2 linked regions of the Saccharomyces cerevisiae S288C genome follow. Changing the gene in region 2 together with the main gene of any one other region gives a genetic interaction. Each region holds a gene or a part of one and is shown on either strand. Other genes may lie near its edges.

Region 1 (3,423 bases), on a different chromosome or scaffold from region 2:
TACTTTCGGAAATCACGCAAATATTATGCACTAGTAACCCTCAATCTCTAAATAACTTATATTGTCATCTGTAAGGCAGCAAAATCCAAGATGGGCAATGTATATAGGTATATAGTTTAGTATTGTCATCTCATAGAATATCAACTGCATAATATACATGTATATATAATTTCCCATTCATTTAGAGGCTTCTTTTTTCGTCTGTATCGCTGAACCTTATGCCGGTTAAATCTAACAAAATTTTTTTGAACTGGAGGAACTAAAAAAAAAAATATTAATCTTGACTAATATACTAATCAGTCACTTTACATCTTAATGAAACCGAAAGAATCACTGATAAAATGTCCGACTCCGACTCCGACTCCGATTATGAATTGTAAGTACAGGATATTTTCAACACAGTAACGTAGAATTACTAACTAACACGAAACTTAATAGGACACTTTCTGCTAATGCCCTCGCTGCCCTTGAAGAATTCAAAAGAGAGGAACAACAACATCAAGAAGCCTTTCAAAAGCTTTACGACGAAACGGATGAAGACTTCCAAAAGAAAAAAAAAGAAGAAGGGATGAAGCTTTTCAAGGAAGATTGGCAGCTTTCCCAGTTTTGGTACAGCGATGACACAGCCGCAATTTTAGCAGATGCCATATTGGAAGGTGCGGACGAAAACACTGTAATTGCAATAGTTAGTGCGCCATCCGTCTATGCTGCCATTCAAAAGAAACCTACTAATGAAATTCCAACCGAACATATCTACTTGTTCGAATTTGATAAGAGATTCGAGTTGTTAGCTGGAAGAGATCATTTCTTTTTTTATGATTACAATAAACCACTGGACTTCAGTGATGAAATTAAAGGAAAAGTTGATAGATTGTTAATTGACCCACCTTTTTTAAATGAAGATTGTCAAACAAAGTGTATGTATATCATAAACATATCCCTACTCATTTTTTAATCTTTTTTCCAGTATCTTTTCATCTTACTAACTGTTATTCATTGATATAAAATAGCCTCTATCACTGCAAAGTGTTTATTAGCGCCAAATGACAACTCTAAAACTAAGAAAGGAGTTTTTAAGCACCGCCTCATAAGTTGTACTGGTGAAAGAATGTCTGAAGTCATATCCAAAGTTTATTCTGACACAAGAATAACAACTTTTCTTCCTGAACATTCTAATGGTTTGAGTAACGAATTTAGGTGCTACGCAAATTTTGAATGTAGTTCATGGAAATTTGCTTCTTGAGCTTTTTAAGAGCTTCGATAAATTTGAAAATTAATTGTACTACATAAAAAATATGTAAACATCAATATATATAATATAATCACATTTCAAATATATCACGTGTTATATTTACTATATAAAAATTCAATAAATAAAAAGTTAGAAGATAAAAATTATATTATACATATTTTTATTTTTATTATAATTTTTGTTTTTGCCTTCCGAAAAGAAAATAGTTTTTTGTATTACGGAAATTACAGAAAAATGTTTAATTTTGATTTCATATTTTTTCTTTCTTTGAAAGAATATTGACGACAAAGTATTGGATAATTATAATGCAAGGAAAGGATATTTGTAGATCTTCGGTTCAATGAAAGTTAATGCGGTATGAATATTGCTTTCTCCAGGACCTTTTTTTTTTTTTAGAGGCTATTTTATTGTCGGTGTTTGTGGATTTTATATTTCTCGGTCCGATAGTCCCTATAGATCGTTTATTGTTCTCTCGAGAAATGGTATCGTTTAAAAATCTCATATAAGCCTGCAAGGAAAAGATTATGCTGCAGCTATAAAATAGAATAGACAACAATATAGATTGTCAATTTTGTCCAATTTTATTTGCAACTCTACCTGGAAGGGCAAACAAAAATAAATATGTCAAAGATAGATTCAGTTTTAATTATCGGTGGTTCTGGTTTTCTTGGATTGCACTTAATTCAGCAATTTTTTGATATTAATCCTAAGCCAGACATCCACATTTTTGATGTTAGAGATCTCCCTGAAAAACTTTCAAAACAGTTTACTTTTAATGTAGACGACATAAAATTTCATAAGGGTGATTTAACATCACCTGATGATATGGAAAACGCAATTAACGAAAGTAAAGCAAATGTTGTTGTTCATTGTGCTTCTCCAATGCATGGTCAAAATCCAGATATTTATGACATAGTGAATGTTAAGGGAACCCGTAACGTGATAGATATGTGCAAGAAATGTGGCGTTAATATACTTGTATATACTTCCTCTGCTGGTGTTATTTTTAATGGGCAAGATGTGCACAATGCAGACGAAACCTGGCCAATCCCAGAAGTTCCTATGGATGCGTACAATGAGACTAAAGCTATCGCCGAAGATATGGTCTTGAAGGCGAATGATCCAAGCAGTGATTTCTATACTGTTGCTCTTCGTCCAGCTGGTATTTTTGGCCCAGGTGATAGGCAATTAGTACCTGGTCTAAGACAGGTTGCGAAATTGGGGCAGTCGAAGTTCCAAATTGGTGATAATAACAATCTATTTGATTGGACTTATGCTGGAAATGTTGCTGACGCGCATGTGTTAGCTGCACAGAAACTTCTCGATCCAAAAACAAGAACTGCTGTCTCGGGTGAAACTTTTTTCATTACCAATGATACCCCCACCTATTTTTGGGCCTTGGCCCGTACTGTGTGGAAGGCAGATGGTCATATTGATAAACATGTTATTGTTTTGAAAAGGCCAGTTGCAATTTGTGCAGGTTATCTTTCAGAATGGGTATCCAAGATGCTGGGTAAAGAGCCAGGTTTGACTCCATTCAGAGTCAAGATTGTGTGTGCATACCGTTATCACAACATTGCTAAGGCCAAAAAGTTGCTAGGCTACACACCAAGAGTTGGTATTGAAGAAGGAATTAACAAAACGTTGGCCTGGATGGACGAAGGTTTGTAATGGCAATCGTTAGGAGCTTTTTGATCCGATTATCGAAAGATAGTATGTTGAAATAGCATATCTGATACGCACCGTATATATTTATTCTGTCTTTATAGATGAATAATAAGAATTGAAACACCTAAAACATCTTGATGACTAGGTTAGTATATATATGTATACACTCATTTAATGACTACACTATGAAGCGTCGGGGTAATGCATGTAAATAAATAGAAATAAATCATTGAAACAACGAAATTCTCATGTATGCCTGCTAAGGATTCAATTTTTTGATATGTACGGTCATAATACTTTCTGCTTAACAAAAAACGAGCGTAAACTTTTCATTTGCCATACACAAATTATAATGAGAAGAGTAACTTGAGTTACCGTCCACCACATTGCGCGAGAATTCACAGACTCTGATATGTCTCTAAAGGATTCTTCACGTTCTCTCATCAGTTGTTGCTCTCTCCTGATATCCACGATCTTAGAATTCAATATACTGACTTTTCCGT
Region 2 (4,990 bases):
TTTTTTTTTACAAATGTTTTATGATATGTTTACTATTTCCCGCTTTAGGAAATCATATTAAGGGTTTCATGAAAGAATTCTGCAGAGTGATCATTGGAAATCGGCAGAAAGTGAGAAGGGAGGCTGTCACCAGGTTCCCCTATACTATTCATGTGAGTGGTAGCATGCAAAGTAAAGACCCTTTTTCATTTAGTGATTCATCCATGAATAGCTCTTGGTGCTAGCCCAGATTTTTCAGTAATTTTTGTTTTTTCTTCTGAATTTTCCAGAATTAAAAAAAAGATCAGAAAAAAGCGAGAGTTTACTTAAGATATTAAAGTCTAGTTGATATATCAACAAGTGAAGGCAAAATACCAATAGAGTGCACGTTTCTTGATGCTATGAAATACATACCCCCATTAAATTTTTCGCCAGTGGTGAGCACGGATGTATCGTTATATCGATCGGGATACCCGATGCCGTTAAATTATAGTTTCATCAAGCATCAGTTACACTTGAAGACCATAATATATATTGGCGATAAAGATAGGCCTCTCGAAGAATATCAAAGCTTCCTGGAGTCAGAAAAGATAAAATACTATCACATATTTATGGATTCAAGCCGCGATGAAGGAATTCAAGAAAGAATGAACCAGGTCTTGCACTTGGTGCTGGATGTCAGAAACTATCCCATCTTAGTGCATTCCAATAAGGGCAAGCACCGTGTTGGTGTAGTTGTGGGAATCATAAGAAAGTTGTTACAGGGATGGTCCACTGCAGGTATATGCCAAGAGTACGGGTTATTTTCTGGTGGGATGAAAGATGGAGTAGATTTGGAGTTTATCACAATGTTCGAAACCAATCTGAAAATACCGAGAAACGTTATCCCTGGCTTTGCTAAACACTGCTTGTATTTGAATGAGCTAGAGGCTGCGGAAGGAAGTGATGATGAGTCAGGAAGTGAGTCTATTCTCACTGCCAAGCAACCAATATGATTATGAGAACCAGCCGTTACAAAGAATATTTTCTGTCATTAATATATTTGTATAAATAAAACAACAAGTCTAAAGATCAAGTAGAAAAATGGAAACAAGAACGAGCACATATATGGTATATAGTGAACATATATATATTAGATATATACGTTCAAGCGTCGAAGGACAAAGACCAACCTAGCTTGTGAACAGGTTCAGACAACTTCAAAGCATCGAAAGAGGAACCGACACCCAGAGTGACGCCAGGTCTTAACAATTGCTTGTAAGCCAAAGTGACAATACCGGAATCGGACACCTTAGCCTTAACTTGGGAAGATGCATCAGGCAAATATCTAGTGGCGAATTCGATGTTGACATTGGAGTTAGGTAGTTTGCAGTTCATTGTAGCCTTAGCACCGACCTGTAAAAAGGCGTTGACGTTTTGGAAGAAGTCAACGGTAGTTATTTGCTCGTTGTTCAATGTAGCGCCCAAGGAGTAGTCTTTGGCGAAATAACTTAAAGCCATGGCATAACGAGAAATGGAACCGGCGCTGATATCGTAACCAAACTCTGCGCCACCAACAATACCTTCGTGGGCCATAGTTAAGTCACCAACAAATGTTGGTGACTTCAAACACAAGTCAAAGGCACCTCTTGCGGTGAAGAAAGGTTGTGTGAACGTAGTGTTTAAGACGGCGGACTTGGCGACGCCTGGAGTCAAAGAAGTGATCAATTCGTTCTTTAGACCAGGGGTCAAGTTGGCAAACTCTAATTTGGTTTGCAAGTTGTTTGTGTTAGACCAGCCTTGAGTTAGACCCAAGCCGGTTTGCTTGTCATTCAACTTTGCTTCCACGTTAGTAGACAGTGGACCGTCTTTGACAGGCTGTTTAGCCTTCAATGAGAACTTAATGCCATTGGCGGTTGTTGTTTGCACATCAAAGGCAGCTGGGGTAGCATGATAGAAATCCTTGTTCAATAGGTCATTGATATTTCTGGAGATATCGCTGTAAACTGGAGGAGACATTGTTGAGAGGTTGGTTTGATTTTTGCTTTGGGTACGCTTGGCTGTTTCGTGTTGGGAGAATCCGTAGCACTAATGAGTAGTGGAACGAGTTGGGGGTAGTTATATAGTAGATCAACTCGTGCTCTGCTGGCTATAAAAGGGGTTCTTTGTTGAGGAACGGCCGAAATGGCGGTGTTTGATTGGGCCGCAGCCGGCAAAAAGCACCGGAACCGTGAAAAAAGCTCGTCTGACGCGGAAACGTGCGGCAAAAAATCTCCGCGACGGGGAATTGAACCCCGATCTGGCACGCGACAAGCGCCCATTCTGACCATTAAACTTGTTGGAATAAAAATCAACTATCATCTACTAACTAGTATTTACGTTACTAGTATATTATCATATACGGTGTTAGAAGATGACGCAAATGATGAGAAATAGTCATCTAAATTAGTGGAAGCTGAAACGCAAGGATTGATAATGTAATAGGATCAATGAATATTAACATATAAAACGATGATAATAATATTTATAGAATTGTGTAGAATTACAGATTTCCTTTTATGGATTCCTAAATCCTCGAGGAGAACTTCTAGTATATTCTGTATACCTAATATTATAGCCTTTATCAACAATGGAATCCCAACAATTATCTCAACATTCACCCATTTCTCATGGTAGCGCCTGTGCTTCGGTTACTTCTAAGGAAGTCCACACAAATCAAGATCCGTTAGACGTTTCAGCTTCCAAAATTCAAGAATATGATAAGGCTTCCACTAAGGCTAACTCTCAACAGACAACAACACCTGCTTCATCAGCTGTTCCAGAGAACCCCCATCATGCCTCTCCTCAAACTGCTCAGTCACATTCACCACAGAATGGGCCGTACCCACAGCAGTGCATGATGACCCAAAACCAAGCCAATCCATCTGATTGGTCATTTTACGGACGCCCATCTATGATTCCGTATACACCTTATCAAATGTCGCCTATGTACTTTCCACCTGGGCCACATTCACAGTTTCCGCAGTATCCATCATCAGTTGGAACGCCTCTGAGCACTCCATCACCTGAGTCAGGTAATACATTTACTGATTCATCCTCAGCGGACTCTGATATGACATCCACTAAAAAATATGTCAGACCACCACCAATGTTAACCTCACCTAATGACTTTCTAAATTGGGTTAAAACATACATCAAATTTTTACAAAACTCGAATCTCGGTGGTATTATTCCGACAGTAAACGGAAAACCCGTACGTCAGATCACTGATGATGAACTCACCTTCTTGTATAACACTTTTCAAATATTTGCTCCATCTCAATTCCTACCTACCTGGGTCAAAGACATCCTATCCGTTGATTATACGGATATCATGAAAATTCTTTCCAAAAGTATTGAAAAAATGCAATCTGATACCCAAGAGGCAAACGACATTGTGACCCTGGCAAATTTGCAATATAATGGCAGTACACCTGCAGATGCATTTGAAACAAAAGTCACAAACATTATCGACAGACTGAACAATAATGGCATTCATATCAATAACAAGGTCGCATGCCAATTAATTATGAGAGGTCTATCTGGCGAATATAAATTTTTACGCTACACACGTCATCGACATCTAAATATGACAGTCGCTGAACTGTTCTTAGATATCCATGCTATTTATGAAGAACAACAGGGATCGAGAAACAGCAAACCTAATTACAGGAGAAATCCGAGTGATGAGAAGAATGATTCTCGCAGCTATACAAATACAACCAAACCCAAAGTTATAGCTCGGAATCCTCAAAAAACAAATAATTCGAAATCGAAAACAGCCAGGGCTCACAATGTATCCACATCTAATAACTCTCCCAGCACGGACAACGATTCCATCAGTAAATCAACTACTGAACCGATTCAATTGAACAATAAGCACGACCTTCATCTTAGGCCAGAAACTTACTGAATCTACAGTAAATCATACTAATCATTCTGATGATGAACTCCCTGGACACCTCCTTCTCGATTCAGGAGCATCACGAACCCTTATAAGATCTGCTCATCACATACACTCAGCATCATCTAATCCTGACATAAACGTAGTTGATGCTCAAAAAAGAAATATACCAATTAACGCTATTGGTGACCTACAATTTCACTTCCAGGACAACACCAAAACATCAATAAAGGTATTGCACACTCCTAACATAGCCTATGACTTACTCAGTTTGAATGAATTGGCTGCAGTAGATATCACAGCATGCTTTACCAAAAACGTCTTAGAACGATCTGACGGCACTGTACTTGCACCTATCGTAAAATATGGAGACTTTTACTGGGTATCTAAAAAGTACTTGCTTCCATCAAATATCTCCGTACCCACCATCAATAATGTCCATACAAGTGAAAGTACACGCAAATATCCTTATCCTTTCATTCATCGAATGCTTGCGCATGCCAATGCACAGACAATTCGATACTCACTTAAAAATAACACCATCACGTATTTTAACGAATCAGATGTCGACTGGTCTAGTGCTATTGACTATCAATGTCCTGATTGTTTAATCGGCAAAAGCACCAAACACAGACATATCAAAGGTTCACGACTAAAATACCAAAATTCATACGAACCCTTTCAATACCTACATACTGACATATTTGGTCCAGTTCACAACCTACCAAAGAGTGCACCATCCTATTTCATCTCATTTACTGATGAGACAACAAAATTCCGTTGGGTTTATCCATTACACGACCGTCGCGAGGACTCTATCCTCGATGTTTTTACTACGATACTAGCTTTTATTAAGAACCAGTTTCAGGCCAGTGTCTTGGTTATACAAATGGACCGTGGTTCTGAGTATACTAACAGAACTCTCCATAAATTCCTTGAAAAAAATGGTATAACTCCATGCTATACAACCACAGCGGATTCCCGAGCACATGGAGTCGCTGAACGGCTCAACCGTACCTTATTAGATGACTGCCGTACTCAACTGCAATGTAGTGGTTTACCGAACCATTTATGGTTCTCTGCAATCGA

What was found.
Region 1: mutations in POR1 (region 2) and ERG26 together harm fitness more than expected from each alone (negative genetic interaction), as found in Saccharomyces cerevisiae (2 studies listed by BioGRID).

The regions. Positions count from the first base shown.
Region 1 is NC_001139.9:494,953-498,375, reverse strand, and holds ERG26 (sterol-4-alpha-carboxylate 3-dehydrogenase (decarboxylating)), read left to right. Parts: upstream 1-1,873; coding exon 1,874-2,923; downstream 2,924-3,423. Other genes in the region: EFM5 (protein-lysine N-methyltransferase), read left to right, coding at 342-376, 439-917, 1,011-1,243; ERP6 (Erp6p), read right to left, coding at 3,209-3,423. UniProt on the Saccharomyces cerevisiae protein: Sterol-4-alpha-carboxylate 3-dehydrogenase; part of the third module of ergosterol biosynthesis pathway that includes the late steps of the pathway.
Region 2 is NC_001146.8:516,869-521,858, forward strand, and holds POR1 (porin POR1), read right to left. Parts: upstream 1,978-4,990; coding exon 1,126-1,977; downstream 1-1,125. Other genes in the region: OCA2 (Oca2p), read left to right, coding at 381-974; YNL054W-A (gag protein), read left to right, coding at 2,588-3,910. UniProt on the Saccharomyces cerevisiae protein: Non-selective voltage-gated ion channel that mediates the transport of anions and cations through the mitochondrion outer membrane.